3 linked regions of the Coturnix japonica genome follow. The main gene of each other region encodes a partner of the protein of the gene in region 3 in a complex. Links are inferred from orthologs where the notes say so. Each region holds a gene or a part of one and is shown on either strand. Other genes may lie near its edges.

The links. Proteins that work in one complex are often made in the same cells at the same time.
Region 1: the proteins of G3BP1 (region 3) and CAPRIN1 are in contact, whole or in part, in a crystal structure (PDB 8TH7), measured with the Homo sapiens proteins. The link is inferred for Coturnix japonica from reciprocal best matches to the Homo sapiens genes G3BP1 and CAPRIN1. Residues at the interface, in NP_005745.1 of Homo sapiens: Glu4, Lys5, Pro6, Ser7, Leu10, Val11, Glu14, Phe15, Arg17, Gln18, Thr21, Leu22, Met29, His31, Arg32, Phe33, Tyr34, Gly35, Lys36, Gln58, Lys59, His62, Leu114, Glu117, Asn122, Lys123, Phe124, Tyr125; in NP_005889.3 of Homo sapiens: Met363, Gln365, Met366, Gln367, Gly368, Pro369, Tyr370, Asn371, Phe372, Ile373, Gln374, Asp375, Ser376, Met377, Leu378.
Region 2: G3BP1 (region 3) and ELAVL4 share a complex: the UniProt entries of both Homo sapiens proteins name them as parts of the TAU mRNP complex. The link is inferred for Coturnix japonica from reciprocal best matches to the Homo sapiens genes G3BP1 and ELAVL4.

The regions. Positions count from the first base shown.
Region 1 is NC_029520.1:6,354,820-6,360,747, reverse strand, and holds the start of CAPRIN1 (caprin-1), read left to right. Parts: upstream 1-2,230; 5' UTR 2,231-2,420; intron 2,421-2,703; 5' UTR 2,704-2,705; coding exon 2,706-2,909; intron 2,910-5,928. UniProt on the Homo sapiens protein: mRNA-binding protein that acts as a regulator of mRNAs transport, translation and/or stability, and which is involved in neurogenesis, synaptic plasticity in neurons and cell proliferation and migration in multiple cell types.
Region 2 is NC_029523.1:21,013,549-21,019,510, forward strand, and holds the start of ELAVL4 (ELAV-like protein 4), read left to right. Parts: upstream 1-2,264; 5' UTR 2,265-2,324; coding exon 2,325-2,441; intron 2,442-4,271; exon of another isoform or gene 4,272-4,680; coding exon of another isoform or gene 4,681-4,689; intron 4,690-4,850; exon of another isoform or gene 4,851-4,881; coding exon of another isoform or gene 4,882-4,995; intron 4,996-5,118; exon of another isoform or gene 5,119-5,383; coding exon of another isoform or gene 5,384-5,407; intron 5,408-5,962. UniProt on the Homo sapiens protein: RNA-binding protein that is involved in the post-transcriptional regulation of mRNAs. Plays a role in the regulation of mRNA stability, alternative splicing and translation.
Region 3 is NC_029528.1:5,160,025-5,166,227, forward strand, and holds the start of G3BP1 (ras GTPase-activating protein-binding protein 1), read left to right. Parts: upstream 1-2,828; 5' UTR 2,829-2,960; intron 2,961-6,203. Other genes in the region: copper transport protein ATOX1, read right to left, coding at 708-783, 1,487-1,492. UniProt on the Homo sapiens protein: Protein involved in various processes, such as stress granule formation and innate immunity. Plays an essential role in stress granule formation.

The DNA of each region.
Region 1 (5,928 bases), on a different chromosome or scaffold from region 3:
TAAAAGAAACATAGTGGTTACAAAAACCCAAAAGGTTATTTACAGGAAAAACTCACCCACATGGAAATCATCAGTCTGCTAGGAAATGCTGAAGCAACATCCACCAAGAAACAATCTCCAAGAGATGCTGCCTTAGTGGTGGTCAGCCCTTAAATGGGGTCTAGAGGAGATGGAGTCAAGCTCCACCCCTTCCAGGAGCACAGCTAAATTACTCTCACCTGTGCTCCCACAGCTGACCCACACTTGCCTCAGCTGATTAATCAGAGGTTCACGCTGTGATTACCAATTTCCCATATACTCCCTCACTATAAAAAAGACATCAAGGCTCAAGAGGTTGTCTAGAAGAAGTGTAACAAAGCTGGTGAGGAGTCTAGAACACAAGTCTTATAAGGAACAACTGAGGAAACTCAGTTTGGAGGAGGCTCAGGGGAGACCTACCTGAAAGAACACTGAAGCAAGGTGGATGTTGACCTTTTCTCCTGTATAACTAGTGATAGGACTAGAGGGAATGACATCAGGTGGTGCTAGGGGGAGGTTTAGGTTAGTTATTAGGAAGCCTTTTGTCTCTGAAAGGCTGATCAGGCACTGAAATGGGCTACTCAGGGAGGTGGTTGAATCACACTCCCTAGAGGTGTTCAAGAAATGCTTAGATGTGGTACTAAGGGAAATGGCTTAATGGGAAAATACTGGTGGTAGGTGGGTGGTTGGATGGGATGTTCCTGGGGGACTTTTCCATTCTGTGTGTGATTCTGCACATATGCATTTTGCATCTGTGTGTAAGCATAAAGATTGATTTAGGATATCCTGTGATTAAGTTCACGAATCTTGTCGTCTTTGAATTCGTAATCAAGTTGCTATTTAATTATTACTTATTTCCCTACATCTTCTTAAGTCTCTCAATTAGCTAATGATTACATGCTGTTATAATCCAATCCTTTAATTTACTTCACATTACCATTGTATCTTAAATTACTACCGAACATAACCAAGTTAAATATTTGTTCATGTCTGGTGGTGACGCATTGCTTGAATTCACTAATGTCATTTTTTCAGTATGGTATGAGAGTCCCTTTGCAGTTCTGCATACATATGTAATGCTTTGTTTATGCTTTAGTGCATAAGCTCAGTTATAGAGTTCTATCTTTGGCCGACAAAAAGGCATCCACTGTAATTATGAANGATACATATGTAATGCTTTGTTTATGCTTTAGTGCATAAGCTCAGTTATAGAGTTCTATCTTTGGCCGACAAAAAGGCATCCACTGTAATTATGAAGAGCTTTGATTCAGTAATTGTCACATAATTATTGCTTGTGCAATCTCATGTAATAACCGTTCTCAGGAGCAGTATCATTAGCCTTTTTGCGGGACTGAAGACTCGCTATTTTCTTGTGCACTAAGAATCAATTTTTTACATTGATGGACAAAATCTTTATTCAGAGCCAACAGATATTGCTTCATTTACTATCACACATCCTTCCACCAACTCTGCTTTTTGTTTTCCTTGCAGATTTGGCGTTCTTTGGAAATACAGCTTTGAGTACAAACGATGCTGACTTTCAACATCTGAGGACACACTTGTTTAAGTGAAATACATGGGATTGGCTGATTATTGCACTTCTCTTATAACCTGTCATGCAAAATGCACTGATCTGGAAAGCAAATTGCCCATTATAAATTGCCAAAGCATCCGGCTGATATTTAAAATGCATGAATAGATGTAAAGGCTACAAAACAGTATTTACAGATGCCATGAAAAAAAATTCTGAATATTCAGGTATTAATTACTAAAGAAAATTCTGAGTATTGAGGTATTAACTACTAAAGCATGATGTCAAAAGAAGCTCTTTTTATTACCAACCCGAATTAACTCGGGGGCAGCTACAATTAGAACTGGGGCTGTGTGACTGTGCACAGGGGGGGCTGGGAAGGAGAAGGGGATTTCTCCTTTCTGATGTGAAGAGCCATTCGAGGCACAGCTCTCACTTGCGCTGCTGCTTTCAGACAAACACAAAGCCCAGTAGGACATAGGCACACAACAGGGGGCTCCACACGGGCACACAGGGGACAACATGGCGGACAGCAGTCGCCCCGCCCCGCTATTGTGTCTGGCGCTGAGGCGCCCACCGCGCGCCTGAAGGACCCGAGCTCCAGCGGCGCGGCTGGAAGGCGCCTCCTCCGCCTGCTCGCCGGATTCAGGCGTTCTCCACGGGCACTCTCTGTATCCGAGGACCCCGCGTCGCTCGCTCCCGCGCCGCCCGCCTTACGCGCTCGCGTGCGCGCTCCCGCTCTCTGCCATAGTAGCGCTGTGCGGAGGTGGAAGGAGCGGCGCGGGGCCGGAGTGTGCTGAGGCGGTCATATCTCAGAGCCAGAGCGCGACGCACCGAGTCCCCCCCTCCCCTTGGGCCACTCACGCACACGGTGAGGGGGGCGGCGAGGCCCTCCGGACACCGGCGGGGTGGGGAGGGATGTGGGGGGGTGTTAATGGCCGCGCTGGGGCGATGACCGTTGGCTGGGCGAGCGGCGGCGCGCCTGCCCGTCACGTGACCGCCTTGAGCGCGCTCCCGACGCCGAGTGAGTGGCGCGGGAGCGCGCTCGGCGGGCAGGTGCGGCTGGGCGGGGAGAAGCGGCCGAGTGCGCGCCCGGCCTCACGCGTGTCCCCTGCGGCGGCCTGCTCTCCTCACGCCCGCTCTCTCCCTCGCAGAGATGCCCTCGGCTACCAACAGCACCATGGCGAGCAGCGGGAAGGCGGGACCGGGCGGCAGCGAGCAGGCACCGGCCACGGCCCCGGCGGCGACAGCGGCGGCCCCGCAGGCGTCGGGAGGCAGCATCACTTCGGTTCAGACCGAGGCCATGAAGCAGATCTTGGGAGTGATCGACAAAAAGCTCCGCAACCTCGAGAAGAAAAAGGTGCTCGCTTCTCCCTTCCCTCCTCCTCCCCAAGCCTGGCTGCCTCCAAAGGGAGGTCGCGGGCCCCTCGGGTTCCCCCCGCTGGGCCCCGGGCAGCCCGTTCCCCGTCCCGCCGCTGTCCCTTCCCCGAGCTGGGCCATGATGTTCCCCACGTCCCCGCTCCGGGCCGCGCGGGTTGTTCCCGGTGTCGCCCCCAGGGGCCGCCCGCTGGAAGGTTCCAGAAGGGCGAGCCGCGCTCTTTAGGCCATTCCCCCCTTCCTCTTATGGGGGTCCCCTCCGCAGGCTGACCCCAAGTCGGGCCCCGCTCAGCCCCAATGGCCGGACTCAGCCCTGCCCCCCTTCCCCACCGGGCTGTGGCTGAGGGTTGGGGCCGACGGGTGTAGCTCCGCTACAGATTGCGGCCCCCTCCCGGAGAGCCCCCAGTGGCGCGGCCCCCTCCCCCTTCCGCCTTTTGTTCATTGCGGCGTGTCTCTGCCGGGCTGTAGTGCGGAAGGGCCGCCGTTCCCGGCCTTCCTGCTGCCCCGCACCCCACGGGCAGCGCTCCCCCTGCCCGCTGGAGCTGACCGAGCCGTGGGGCCGGGGCTCCGCGTCCCCCCCGAGCCGCGCACATGGAGGCAGGAGCTAACATGGCGGCGGTGAGGCCGCCTAAGCCTCCCCGCCGGAACTGCATTGTGCCAGCAGCCCGCACAAAGCCGGGCCGCCCCGCCCGCTGCTCTTCGCTTCGCTCCGCTCTTGCCCCTCGGGAGTCCCGGGTCAGCTGAGAGCGGCCTTTAGGCAGTTATTTATAGAAAGAACCGCTGCTAAATCCGTGATCCTCGGCGGGTTCGGGTTTGTGACAGCGAGAAGATGATGCCGTGGTTAGTGGGGATTTACACGGCGCCGTGCCGTGCTTTGAGTTGTGGGATGCAGGGAGGGGTTCCCAACCCTCTGAGCACGAGGGATCTTTCATTAGGGCACCAGCAGGCACGGAGCCTGTAGACGGACTGGGAAACAGCATCTCCAAACTGAAATTTGGGACTTCTTTGGGATTTCTTAGTGCTGAGGCCCTAAATCTGTATTAGCTCTTAAGAGTTAATAAGCACAGTTACACTTAAGCTTTTTAACCTGTGTTTTAGGTTCTAGTAGTCTAGACGACTAGAGTACGGCAAGCAAAAACGTTAGCTCTTACAGATGAATTGCGAATGAAGCGAGCTATGTTTTATTTTGCATCTGTAAATGTGTGTGTATGGTGGTTTCTCACTTAAACCCCACAACATTGGATTTGCTACTGCTTAAGAAGCAAAAAGAAATAGGCTGGGAGCTTTTAGATAAGCTTAGAATTGAAGGATCACTTCTTGACCCTTGTCTGAATACTGTTGTGTATGGGAAATTGGTAATCACAGCCTGAACCTCTGATTAATCAGCTGAGGCAAGTGTTGGGTCAGCTGCAGGAGCACAGGTGAGAGTAATTGAGCTGTGCTCCTGGAAGAGATGGAGCTTGACTTCACCTCCTCTAGACCTCATTTAAGGGCTGACCACCACTAAGGCAGCACCTCTTGGAGATTGCTCCTTGGCAGTTGAAAAGAAGAAATGAAGAGGATCAGCATGCCCTTACTGATGTGCAAGGAACCTTTCCAGCAGTGTTTTTATTTACGTTTTCAAATAAATAAATCACACCTAATTTACACTTGGCTTGTCCATTCCCTTCTGTTTGAATGGGCCTTCTGGAGGGCTTCTGTAGTACCTGAAGTTAAAAGGGTGTGTGGAAGGCCATTATTTCAATGGAACACAGTGAAATATTAGGGTTATTGCTGATTAATGACCTGATTCTTGTTATTTTTTGTATAACTGCTGCTGTGGCTGCTGTGATGATGTTTTGATCATTATGGCGTCATAGGAGCTATATGGGAAATTGGTAATCACAGCCTGAACCTCTAATCAGCTGAGGCAAGTGTTGGGTCAGCTGTGGGAGCACAGGTGAGAGTAATTTAGCTGTGCTCCTGGAAGGGGTGGAGCTTGACTCCATCTCCTCTAGACCTCATTTAAGGGCTGACCACCTCTAAGGCAGCATCTCTTGGATGTGGTTCCCAGCTGACCAAAGGCTTCCATATGGGTGAGTTTTTCCTGTAAATAACCTTTTGGGTATTTACAATTACCATCTTATCGTTATTGTCGCCATACAGCTGCTGACTGCAGGGTAAGTAGCTTTTTTTTCTGGAAAAGTAATTCCATTAAAATTACTTAGAGTGTCTCTTTGGGAGAATCAATGCTCTGCCTCCCCCTCCATTGATCCATATGTATTAAATAAGAGTTACTGATCTGTCAACTTGAGCTTGTCTTTTAGTTGGGGAACCAACAGTTGTTGAGTAGATGAGCATTCTTTCATTGAAGAGAACAATCAATGTGTAACTTACCGTACATGTGGACTTAAGTATTTCTACTGTATTACTTAATAACTTTATGAAAACGCATAAATTAATCTTCCATGACCTTTTTTTTTTAACTATGGAGAAAGCAAAATCACGCTGATTAGTGTCCAGTTGGGAATGAGTGGGAAAACTGTATAAATCACACAGAAAATTCCTGCTTAGCTGAACATGCAGTAGTTTGTCAGGTTAGTTTGAGGGCTCCGTTTTTGAGAGCTGTTATAACATCATATTTGTCTAAGACGTGCTTCTGGTGGATGAAGAGTAAGAAGTACTGCCTTAACTCTGAAATGCAGTGGGCAGCTTTAAGTTTAATAAGGGTTATTCCTTCTGAAGGAACTCAAAGTTGGAAGTAAATTGTTGTCACGTTCCATTTTAAGCTCTGAGCACAAAGTTGCATGACCAGCAAAATATGGTATAGAACTCATAATGTTACTCAGCTTTGTACTATTTTGCATGGGTCTGAGTATTTTGGAAATAGGAAGGTGTTACGGTTTTATGTTCTTCTCTTAAAAGTTATCTCATTACTTCAAACAAGTCTGGCTTAGTTTAAAGGCTTTTAAGAGAAACTGAATTGTTGTTCGTAAATGTATGTGGAAACATGGCCTGGAAAT
Region 2 (5,962 bases), on a different chromosome or scaffold from region 3:
TTTGTGTCCTTGCACATGAGAGCTCTGGTGCTTTCCTAATAGACTGAAAATGAGACTACTGCTGCTTTATAAGAGGTCTGTTCCAGCCACATTGCTCTACAGCTTGGCAGATGGTGGCATGTGAATGGTTTCATATTGATTGGATGGATTTGCCTCAGGATAAGAGGAGTGTGGGGCCTTCAAGATGCACTTCTGGCTCTTTTTTTTCGTTCTTTTTGTTGGGGGTGAGGGGGAGGGAAACGTATATTTATAAAACACTTCATTTGAAATCAGAGGAGTATACAGTAATCCAAGCACTGAAGTTACCTGGAAATAAAAAGTCCTTAAATAGATTATCACAAAGTCCAGAAAGCCAAGGATACTTATTTACTGAATGGTTATGCTTTTACATTAGAAGAAAGTGACACTTTTAATTAGTGTTCAAGGCATATGGTGAATGAGAAAATAAGCTTATTTCATGCAAACAGAAATCGATGCAAATAACCTTTCTCCTCATATAAAAGGGATGACTTGAAACTCAATACATATTCAAGAAGGTTAAGTCATTACTGCATCACTTTAATATTAGTTAAAGGCCAACAAAGAAAACCGCTACTCTGTGTGTACTTACTCAGCAAGGATTGCTGTGTATGAAAGAAATAGCAATACTTTGTAGGTGAAAAATCCAAAGAAGCCTTGGTCCGTATCATGCTTTTTTTTTTGTTTAATCACAGAAAATAACCTTTTGGGTTCTGCCTTTGTGCAGGTAGTGGCTGGAAGTTCTCACAGCTGTCTGGCCTGGCCTGCAGAGGCACTTGGTATTTGTTGTTCCTTCTCACACATCTGTTTTGTGCTCCCTTAGTATGTTTTCAAATCCTTTGTTAAGAATCAACTTTTAGTAGTTTGCATAGCACCGAGTGTGAAGGATCCCGATCTCATTCAGGCCTCTGGGTGTTGCTGTAGAGCACAGAGTACATTTGTTTTCTGTAGTAATGGAAGTATTCCTTGAGGTATTTGGCCTTATGGAAGAAGGGGTTGGTGGAAGCTCGCAGACATGGGAATGGGGAGTTTGATAAATGAGGAGATTCGTGCACTGTTAAAGTGTATTCTTCCCATGCATTTTTCAGTCATGTGCTTTGATGCGTGCAACAGTGATTTCATAAATGAATTTAAGCCAAACTACGTCATGGCATTATCTTATCAAGTTGTCTGTGATTTTGCTTGGAGGTATGGTTAGTATTTCCTAACAGACTCTACCCACATGTGAATTATTTACGTGCTGGATGTTGTGTTTTCCTTACGCACTGTCACGCTGAGCTTGATGCTAATTTTGTTCCGCAGTACAGACCATGTCAATGGGTGCGTTTTCCGTTCTAATTACATTTTGTTCTCTGAACTGACTGGGTGTAACCATTTAGTCCTTTTATTTGCTGAATGAAATGCTCCTGTGTAAATTTTAAGTTCCCTTTAAAAAAATAATGGTGAAAGTTTTGGGTTTTTTAAATTATTTGCCCTCCCTGAGAGGGAAGTGCACAGAACAGTGCAAACCATACGTATGTATTTGAATCATATACATGCTTTTTTCCTCCTCCTGCTTGATAAGTGTAGGGGTGTGGGTTCTGCTGTATCACAACCTAAAGCGATTGCAAGAAGAAATGTTTAAGATGGTTACTTGAATTTGTGTACACTGCCCACCTGGTGGTTATGGAGTGAACTGTTACTTTAAAGAATAGTTTAAACAACAGCCATGTTTGGGGCAGGCTAATCTTGCAAAGAGAGCAGTACATATAACAGGAGTCTACTGTGTGATAAGGGGGAAAATTCAGCTCACTGACTAGATGTTTTAATGTGCGAACTCTAGGGAAATAACATATTGACTATTCTGTTGTGCGCAAGAAAATTGAAGAACCCTTTGCAGACAGAGGGCTTGCAAAGGATTCTTTCTGTTTCTCTTAACCAAAATCTGTGGCAAGATGTTTGAAATCAGCAGGACGCTTAATGCTGCTTTGTTAAATAATGAGGTAATATTTTGTCACTTTTTCTGGGCAGCATCTGTTTTTTCTCCTTTTTTTCCTATGTTTATGAAGGCTTCAGATTAATCTTCTGAAAGTAAGAGATTAAAAAAATCGTTCTTTGATTTATTATGGTTTTTTTTTTCCTTTCCTTTCGATGCTTTTGGAGAATTGGGTTGTCTTTTATTTGCGGTTTCAATCGGCTGCTGTTGCCTAGGACATTATGCCACGTAAGGCTTCTAAACTGCACAGAGTAGGTAGTTATTAACGCTGAATTGGCTTCTGGTATAGTCCATCTGGGCTCTGTATGAGAGAGCTTGCTAGCGGCTACTGATGCTAAGATACCCGCAACCTTTGGGATGTATGCGTGGTGGAGAGGGGCTCAGTGATATGAGATCACTTCTTTTAAGGGAAACTGTCATTAATGAGTCAAGAAACTGCTCATTTATGGTAAGGAGAGGGAGGAGGGGGGGTGGGGGGGCTGGGAAACAACCCTGTGATTTCATTTTGATATTGGATAAGCTGTTTAAGACAAGTTTCTATTTTGTGGGGATGGAAGACTGCATTAAAAATATGCTTGCTGGTGGATTCTGGAGGGGCTGTATTGAGAATTTGATGCTTTACGAATGTGCCACAACTGTGATGCCGTGGCCAGGCGCTTACCCTGAGAGATAAATGGTACTATTGGAAAGACGAGAGAATAAGGTTGACTTTTCTTTTCCAACAATAGGATTCTGCCTTTGTCTTTACGGAGGGGAGGCCTCTGAGGACGGTTGAGCGTTTGTTTTAGTGCTCCTCAGAAAGCCTGTGTGTGTGTGGGGGTGTTTGTGGGGAACGCGGTCGGTGTGCGGAGCACCTGGATTTATAGAGAAACGAAAGAGCTGATTTATTTTGTTAGCGGAGCAGTGTTCAATTATTGCTTCAGAAAAATGGCTGAATCGTGTGATATGCAGAAACCAGTTTATAGCAACCAAGTGAGCTCAACTTGGAAAAGACATGAAAAAATAATTTCTGGGTTTTCTTCTCTAATTGTTATTAACCCAGAAGAGACCATAAGTAAAAAAAATTTGCATTACAAATTTAACTTCAGTATTCGGTGTATATTTGCACGTGAATGTATGGTAATAAAGCGGCTCTGTAGCACTGTGATGCCGGTGTGTTTGAGTGGGTCACCTCTATATTTGAGTTGGGAAACGGATCTTCTGTGTGACTTTAATCTCTGCTAGTTTTTACCAAGCTAGAAATGTGCTCAAAAAGATGTATGGGGAGAGAAACCCTCCGCAGCATCCTTACATTGTTCCTATTTTAATTGAATTCAGTACTCATTCCACAGCCAGGCTGTGTGATGTCTCGTACATGCGCTTTTCTCTGTGCTGGGTCGGTTTGGAGCTGGGCTTTGTATCTGACTGTATTTAATACATTGTATTCATGTGTTCGGTGAGCGTGTGTACGACTGTGTACAATGTGAGGTGTACGGCATGTCGGCTCTGAGCTGAGCAGCTCCGAGGGGGCACATTGAGATTGAGAAATAAAGCGTAACTTGTAGAGCAGTGTCTGTCCAGCTGGGTGTTTTCAGAGGTGTGTGTAGTGGTTCGTTCAGAGCTGCCTTTCCTGCTCAGAAGCAGCTCTGTGTGCTCTTAGTGTGGTGCTCACCCACTGCTCCGCTTTCACCCCAGGTTTAGGAGCGCTCCGTTAGTACTGAACTATGAGGGACCATCTTTACTGCCAGGAATGGTGGAATGAGGCGATCCCTGCGTGCGTGTGGAGCTTTGCGCTTTAGTGGGGGTGAAAGCCAACTCCAGGTCAGCTGTGATGAAAGGATGCCGTGCTGGCTCGGCCAACCTGCGAGCAAGGAATCTCAGAATATGGACTAGGGATCTCAGGATGTGGAATGGGGATCTCAGGAATATGGGATAGGGATCTTGGAATATGGGATGGGAATCTCAGAATATGGGATAGGGATCTCAGAATGTGGAATGGGAATCTCAGAATATGGGATAGGAATGCGCTGCTGTGTGACAGCTGTCACTAACCCGCCGCTCTCGGGGCGGTAGATGCGCTGCGTGGGGCGGCTGTTCTGTCAGCGGAGGCCGCGTGTGTTTGCGCTCACGGTGAACTCGGGCACGCTCCGCTCAGCACAATGCCGGCCGAGCGCCGGGCCGCCCCCAGCCCCATGGAGGGGCGTTGCGGTGCGGCCGTTGGGGCGCAGGGGGCAGCAGGCCTCGAGCCCGGCTCCCCTCCGGGCGGCGGTGCTGGGAGGGCCGAGTCGAGGCGGTGAGGGGCCGCGCTGGGCCTTAACGAGCGGCGCGGTTCGGAACCCCGCCCGGTGCCGCTGCGGGCGGAGGTCAGCGGCTCATTAACACCGTCAATCTGGCGGCGGCTCATTTCAATAGCACCTGATGTCGCGACGCCTCCCCGCGCGGCGGCGGCCAATGAGCGCGCGTTCGCCGCTGACAGATGGGGCCATAAATGGGCGCGGCGCGGGGCCGGCGGCAGCAGCGCCAGCAGCGGCAGCGCCAGCAGCGAGCGGGCAGCGCGGCTACACCGCCCGCCCCGCGCCCACAGCGCCCGCTGCCCACACTGTGCTTGGTGGATCTTAACAAATACCAATAAAAGTCAGGTCCCCGAAAACCTTAGCCAGTCTGTAGAAGAGTTGAAGCCTTTCAAGACCCAATATTTGCCATTAAGAATGGTTATGGTAGGTATTGGTAGATTTAAGCTCGGTCGCAGCGGGTGTCTGTAGAGGTAGACGTAGAGGCTGACATAGATTTCCCCAAACGTGCATCGCTCTCCGCCTGTCTCACACGGGGGTGGCTTGCTGTGCTTGTCCATGATCTCTCCCTCTCTCTTCCCTCTCTCTCTCTCTCTCCCTCCCTCCCTTTCATATTTAATGTCTGCGCGTCCTTTAATAAAGGATGTACTCTGGTTGCGAGGTGGCGGCGGTGCGCTCGGAGCGGAGAGCAGCGCTGATGCCGGGCGGTGCGTGGCTTTGTGCGAGCGGGGGGTGCGTGCACGGCGGCGTTCGGAGATGCGAAATCCTCGAGGGGGGGTGGGGGGAAAAAGGAGGGGGGGGGGAGGAGAGGGGAGGACAAAAAAAAAAAGCCTCGAGATTGGTAATTTTCTTTTGGTGGACTGCGCAATAGGTATGGTAATTTTAAAAGCGAGTGATTTATATGAGCTTCGGTAAATGCTGCATATTGTATTTCAAAGAGTTTCCTGTCATGACCTCATAAAAAGAGGAGGAGGCTGTGTGTGTTGCAGCGCCTAGTCTATGTCGATTTTGTTGCATCGCTGGGCAGCCGCGCTGTAAGAAGGAATGTCAGCTTTTACATAACGCTCTCTTTGCTTCCGACTCGGTGAGGGGCTCTGAGGGTCCATCTTGGCGATCCCAGATGGAGTGGAATGGCCTGAAGATGGTAAGTGAGCTCGGCGCCTCGCCCCGCCGCACCGCACCGCGCGGGGCTCTTTGTTCGGGAGCCGCCACCGCGATGGGCAGCGCCGCGTCGGGCCGGGAGCAACGCGGGGGGTGCGGGTGGCCCCGCGTGGGGCCGAGCGTGGGGTGTCAGGTAGTGCGGGGCTGCGGGCTGTGCGCTTTGTGCATCTTTATATATATATATATATATATATATATATATTATTTTTTTTTTTTCTCCTTCTTCTTCCTCCATACCGAGGAGAAGGGAAAAGCCATATTTCTGTGCGCGGATAGTAATTCTATTTTTAGCCCGCACTGGCAGCCGAGGGACCCGAGCCGCGCTCTCCCCCTTTTGTGCTCGCCTTGTGCAAAATGGCACGATCGCATCCCGGGGGCGGGGGGCCGCGCACAATGAACCCCCCGCCCGGTCCCCTCGCCGCCGCCACGGAGAGCGGCCGGGGAAACAAAGCGTCGGTCTTTTCCCTTTCTTACAGGATTGCCTTTGTCTGCCTGCTTGTTTTGATGGGTGTAAAACAAATAAGATTAGACTGAGCAG
Region 3 (6,203 bases):
CGTCAAAGAGTGATGGGAGGACAGAGGTGCTGAAAACAACACACAGAGGAACTGGAATCACCACAGCCTGGCAATGGGGTCCTGAAGAATTCTCACAGCCTTCAGCTTGGTGACTGAGAGCTGTTCCCACTTGGTGAGGATGGGTAAGCAGGATCAAAAGTCCTCATAACTGGTGAGTGCAGGCCAGATCCTGCTCTCTTGCTGCTCTCAGCACAGAGGAGACACAAGTTATAATTTTCCAGGTTGAACAAAAAACAGGCTGTGCAAGCAACCACCAAACCCTCTGCTCAGCAGCTCTTCACCATGACTGTTCTGCATTTGGATGCTGATGACACATCCAGAGAAGCACTGCAGCTACCAGTGGCCTGGCAGGAGATCCACCTTCTCTTCTTCTTCCCAGCCATCCTGAGCAGGGGGGTGCAGCTCCTGGCAGGTTCAGGATGAGGCCCTGGTGGTGCACAAAGCCACCTGATGCCTGAAGCCTCCTGCATCCCCAGCACTTTATCCTTCCCGTGTTTCTTCTCCAAGGGTTACGCCAGCCCTGCTAGCAATCAGCTACCAGCAGCTCAAAGCAGAGTGATAAGGTGCAGAGGTTTCCACTCAGACACTTCCTGCTGTTACCCACATTGCTTCCTGCTCAAAACAGAGGACCCTGGGGCAGTGACATCTGGCCCCAGAGTCATAATACACCCTGTAGCTCGACTCACCTCCCAGTCTATGCAGGACACGGGTGACTGCATTGGAGCAGCCTTCGCAGGTCATGTCCACAAAGAACTCGTGTTTCTGCAAGAAGACAGATGAGGGTTCAGCAGCATTCACCACCACCTGGAGGGTCCTCTGGAGGCTGCCTGCTCCAACCATGCACTGGAATCAGGACACCTCCAGGGCCAGCACAGCTCTCAGGGGGTTCTCCTGGCCCTGCTAGGCAGGGGGGTTGGAACTACATGATCCTTGAGGTCCCTTCCAACCCGGGTCATTCTGTGATTCTGTGATTCTCCTGGACCCATTGTATGCACAGCCCAGGAGGAGCAAGCCTGCTGCTTTGCTCTGCAATGCCTATCCTATCATATATCATATCATCATGCCCCAAACTCATAAAAACATCATGAAAATAAGCTTGAGGACCACTACCCGCAGTACTCACAGTGCACACATGCGTGGCCCTAAGGCTATCCACTGTGCTCAGCCTTCTGTACGGGACAGGCCCTATCTCCTTCACCTGATATCCTTAAACAAGAAAATCAATGCTGCTCCCTGTCTCCCACCCTCAACCCCTCCATCTTTTTACTCCAAACCACCTTTAACCCCCCACTATCATCACAGCGCGGATCAGTGCGGAACTGAGCAAAACCAAAGCGCTCAGCATCACCATTTATCACCATTCCTATGCGGAACTGGCATTTCCTTCATGTTCTGACAAGCTCAAGGTGGTTCCATCCCCCGGCCCTTCGCTGTCCCCCCCGCCGCCCTCCCGTCCCGCACCCACCGGCATGGCGTGGCTCCGGCTCCCGGTTCCCGGCTCGGAGGAAGGGGCGGCGCTGAGCTCAGCTCCGCACAGCGCCCCCGGGGCCCGAGGAGGCTCGGTAGGGTACGAGCTGCCCGTGAAGCTTCAATGTTCGGCTCTTAGTGAGACAAGTCATTTGCTGCGGGTGTTTGGGGGCTTTTTGGTGTGGTCTTAAGGCTGAGCAAAGCTGTTTGAATGGCCTTTTAGGGACGATGTATGTTTTAGGATGTTTTTGTTCTGAGAACAGCCCCTTGGTTATGTTGCTCTTCCCGTTTTCCTGATCGGTGAGGCTGAATGGCAGCTCTATGGGTCACAGCAAAGCAGGATTAGGGCTGAAGGCCTTTGCTCTGCTCACCCAGGGGGATGCCAACTGAGAGCCCATAGACATTCATTGTGCTGCACACAGGACCTGGCTGCTGTGCTGCTCTATCACAACGTGAGCTCCCTTTCCTCCCAATGCCGCCGTGGTCCCAGCAGTGGTTATTTGAGCTGTGGGTCACTGCTCTGACGTTGAGCCCCACAGCTGTGATTGATGCGCTGGCAGATTGTGCTGCAGCCCTATAAATAGCCGGGCACACAGGGAGGGGGGTGGGCAGGGCTGGGATGTGGTGGTGGGGAGGGACTCAGTCTGAGACAGTCCAATATATCTGATAGTGCTTCATGTCATAGATATGATGGGATACAAACACAGCCTGCTCAGCCAGCTACCTGCTGCTCCTCCATCCTGCTGTCCTCAGCATCCACACCTGCACTATGTGTTGTTCAGATGAGGCTCAGGGGGTCAGAGGCGACCTAGTGAGGCCCATTGGAGATCTCGCAGCCTGCTCTTAGTGATAACCAATGCCCGTCCCAGCGCTGCCCCCCAGCAGGGGGTGGTACGGGGCACTCAATGCCGCCCCTCGTGCGGGGTGACTGTCCCTTTAAGGCCCTGCCTGTCCATCATAGCCCGTCGCGCCCTCCCATTGGATAGGATTGGATAGGTCCCGCCCCCATCTCTAACGGGGTTTACCAGCACCTTCTCAAGGGCGCTGCTGTGCGCTTCAACCACACTACGGCGTCACGCCTGCCCCGCCTTTCGCGCCTGGTCTCGCGGTCAGCGTCGTCCTATTGGCTACCGTTAGGTCTAGCCCCGCCTCAGCACCGAGAGCTTCGCCTCCTATTGGTTCGGATCGCTGTCTGTCAATCTCCCCGCTCCGCGCAGCCAGGCCGCGTGGTTGATAGAGTGAGCTGCCATTCATTTATCATCCCGCCTCCTTTCCCCTCTCCGAACCAATCAGCGTCCGAATGAAGGAGAGCGGCGCTGTGTGATTGGTGGAGCAGCCTCCCGCCGGGTTAGGCTGCGCGCCGGATATATGTAGCCGGCGGCAGAGCACGCCGTTGCGTGAGGTGCTTGTCGTCCGCCGGGCAGGCCTGTGCTCCTGCGACGCCTCCCGCTGCCGTCCCGCTCCGCCCGCAGGTGAGGGGGGCAGGGCCGGGCTGGGAGCGGGGCCGCGGCCTCGTGGGGATGGCGGAGGGCTGCGTGCACCGGGGCGATCCCATTTCCATCCCCCTCAGCGCTGCCCCCTATCCCCGGGGTAGGCCGAGGCCTGGAGGGGGGGGATGGGGTTGGGGTTGGGGATGGGCCCCGCTCGTTGCCGGCCGTCGCAGCGCGGTGAGGCCCGGCCCGGCTCTGTGGGCAGCACTGTGTGTATGGGGGGGGGGCCTATCGGGGCCTTGTGAGCCGGGCGCGGGGCTGCGGGGCGCCGTGCGGGAGTGGTTACCGGCCGTTGGGGCCGGGAGGAGGGGGGGGGAGCGGGCCGGCATTATGTGCATCGGGATGCGGGGCTGCGAGCTTTGTTCTCGGCTCTGCGCGCTGCCTGCCTGCCTTTCTTTCTTTTTTTGCTTTCTTTCTTTTTTTTTCCTCCTTCTTTTTCATCCCGTGCTTTTTATTTATTGCTTTGTTTGGTTTTGGGAGGAGGGAAGGGCGATGTGAGATAACCCACAGCTCGGTTCTGGGCTGCACGGGCTCAGCGCTCCCTCCGGGCCGCGAGCAGCGCGCTGCCACATGCGTGTGTTCGGGGATGGCACCGCGGGGATGGAGGAGCTCGGCTGCCCGCATGACCTTGGCTGGGCCGGGATCGAGCCAAGATTTAAAGCACTGTTTGTGAGGAGGCTGCTCAGCTTCTTACAAGGCCCGAAATGCGCCTGGAACAACGGCGGAAAGGTTTGGATATCATCCACGTGCGCTTTGCTCCTGATCTGGACGACCTTCTGAGTTACTGATTTTAACGGAGATACCCGGTGACTTCTTTTGTTAAGGCTTTTTGCAATGAATGCTCACTACGTGCACAAAACAATGACTTGGGTTTTTTTTTCTCCACGATTGGCTGAAAGCAGCATTTGCAGCAAGCAGCCATGTTTCCAGGCCATGCTATTTTTGTCCAGCCTGTGCTCTCCAGGATGAAGTGACGGCTTTAAGAAACGTGGGTGATGCTGTTGTAGCTCTATAAGCTCACGCTTTCAAGTGCTCTGAATTGAATGTTATGTGTTGAGTTGTTCCCAGCCAACAAGGCTCTATGGACAGGCATCAATAAGAGGATGGAGTGCAGGAGCTGACAGACAAACCCTGCGCTTTAGTTAGTTTCTATACTCTTCCTTTTGGCCTGGTTTTCACTTTTTTTAATATAAACTTCCCTTTCTCTGAAGAGGAAGCCTAGTCATTGTGCTAAAAGATCCATGATAATCTATGGTGCTGCTATAACCATATGGGCATCCTGTGAACTGGGCTCACCTCTTTCAGAGGTGTCTGAGTCAATATATTCAGTGAAGTCATCATTCACTATATTTACTTCAGCCTAGAGAAGTATGGAATCTCCTTTTTGAGGTTAAAAAATGGCTGAGTGGGCCTCATAGCAAAATAGAAGGTTAGTTCTTAGTGTTGATGTGATTTGGGGATGTAGGTCTTGTAATCCAGAAGTCACAGAGGATCTTTGTGATAAAAATCTGTAGTAACAATTAGTTCACTAGGAGCCAAACCTTCTGTAATGGCTGAGGGAGCATCTGAAAGCTGGTTCAGAGTCATGGAATCATATTCTATGATCATAGAAAACCAGCTGTTTCCTTTTTCTCTATGCAAGTGGTTATAATAGCATGTATGGAGGAACATGTAGTAAAGGGAACAAAAATGGTGTTACTGCTTGTACATATTGGGTAGTTCTGTTGGGAACTTCTGATAAAGCATTCATAAGATTAACATAAATGTCCTGCTGGGAAACAGAACTTGAATTGTTGTGGTTTAATATTAAACCTGAGTCCTTTTTTTGTCCATCCAAGCAATGTGACGAGAGAAAAAAAATCAAAGAGGAAATCAAAGTAGAGCGGGGCTTTGGGTGGTGCTTGTTCACTGTATTTGAAATAAAGGGGGGAGGGGGGAAGTGGTAGTTTTGCCTGGAAGAGTGGATCCTTTCTATGGATGCCTGTGTAAAATAGCCAGAATCGATGTGAAGCAACTGGCAATTAAAGTCCTGTGGGAACCGATAGTCCTGATGATCTTAAGGTACCTCACTGGGCAATTAAAGCTAGCAAAATGCTGCCCTCAACAACAACAGAAATCCACCAAACAAACCCCTTTATCTTCACCTACTGTAAGAATGCCTAAAACTGTGCAGGCGATGGATATTCTCCTGGTGTGGAGTCCTAGTTCTGCTATATTAAGGCTGGATCTCTTCCAGAGGCAGAGCTGGTGGAGTACTTGCTTTGAGAGCTCGGAGATGGCGAGCTGTCAGTTATGGAGCTCTTTGCAGATTTGTGCATTCCTTACCGAGACAAATGTGCAATACTGAATTTCAAAGCATTGGTGGCCATTTTCCACTTCTATCTGTATTGCCTCAGCCTCTTTCTACATCAACTTATGGTTCTTTGTCGTGCTGATTTTGTGTTGATGATGAGCGTCTTAACAAGGTGCCCAGGATGGATAAATCTGAGTTGGCTGATGATGTGTCTGAGGATTAAGAGTCTTCTGCAGCAGAATGGACAGCAGTGCAGTAGTTGACTCAAGAGGAATCCATTGCTTGGCATGCAGGAAGCATTTGGTTAAACCTTAATTCTTGTGACTCGATTCCAAATGGGAGTGAGCTTGAATTTCACATTGATATCTGTATAGCTAGGTGTTCTAATCTGCTTCATCTGACTGCTCTGAATAGCTTCTCCTTTTTACTTTGAGAAGCGGCAGTGGAGCCAAATAGGAAAAAATGGCAGAGCTAAGAGAAAAGGACTGGACCTGCTGCCAGCTTCATCGGGTTGTTGGAGCAGCTCTTGGATGGCAGAACAAAACCTGTTCTAATGGCAAAATCATAGGGTTTAAGTCACTACTTCTATAGAGGAGAAGTTTAGGGAGCTGTATGGGCTCAAAGTTGACTAACTTTTCATTAAGGAGATAACTGATAAACAATGGAGGTTATTGCTGTCCCTTGTGGATTAAATTGTCACAGCTGAAACATGTGGAAAAACAATTCTTTCCATAGAGTGAGATTGGGATGTGTCCACTTAGATATGAAAGTCCTTTGCCCTGATTGAGGTGAATAGCCTCTTTGGGAGGATCTGATTTATTTAGTCTTTCTTTGGATTAAAAGTGTAGGAAGACTTCTATGAATTTTCAAGGCTTTGAGAGAACTCAGAGTTTCAAGAGGAATTAATGTTGGGTTTCTGTCAGATCACAAGG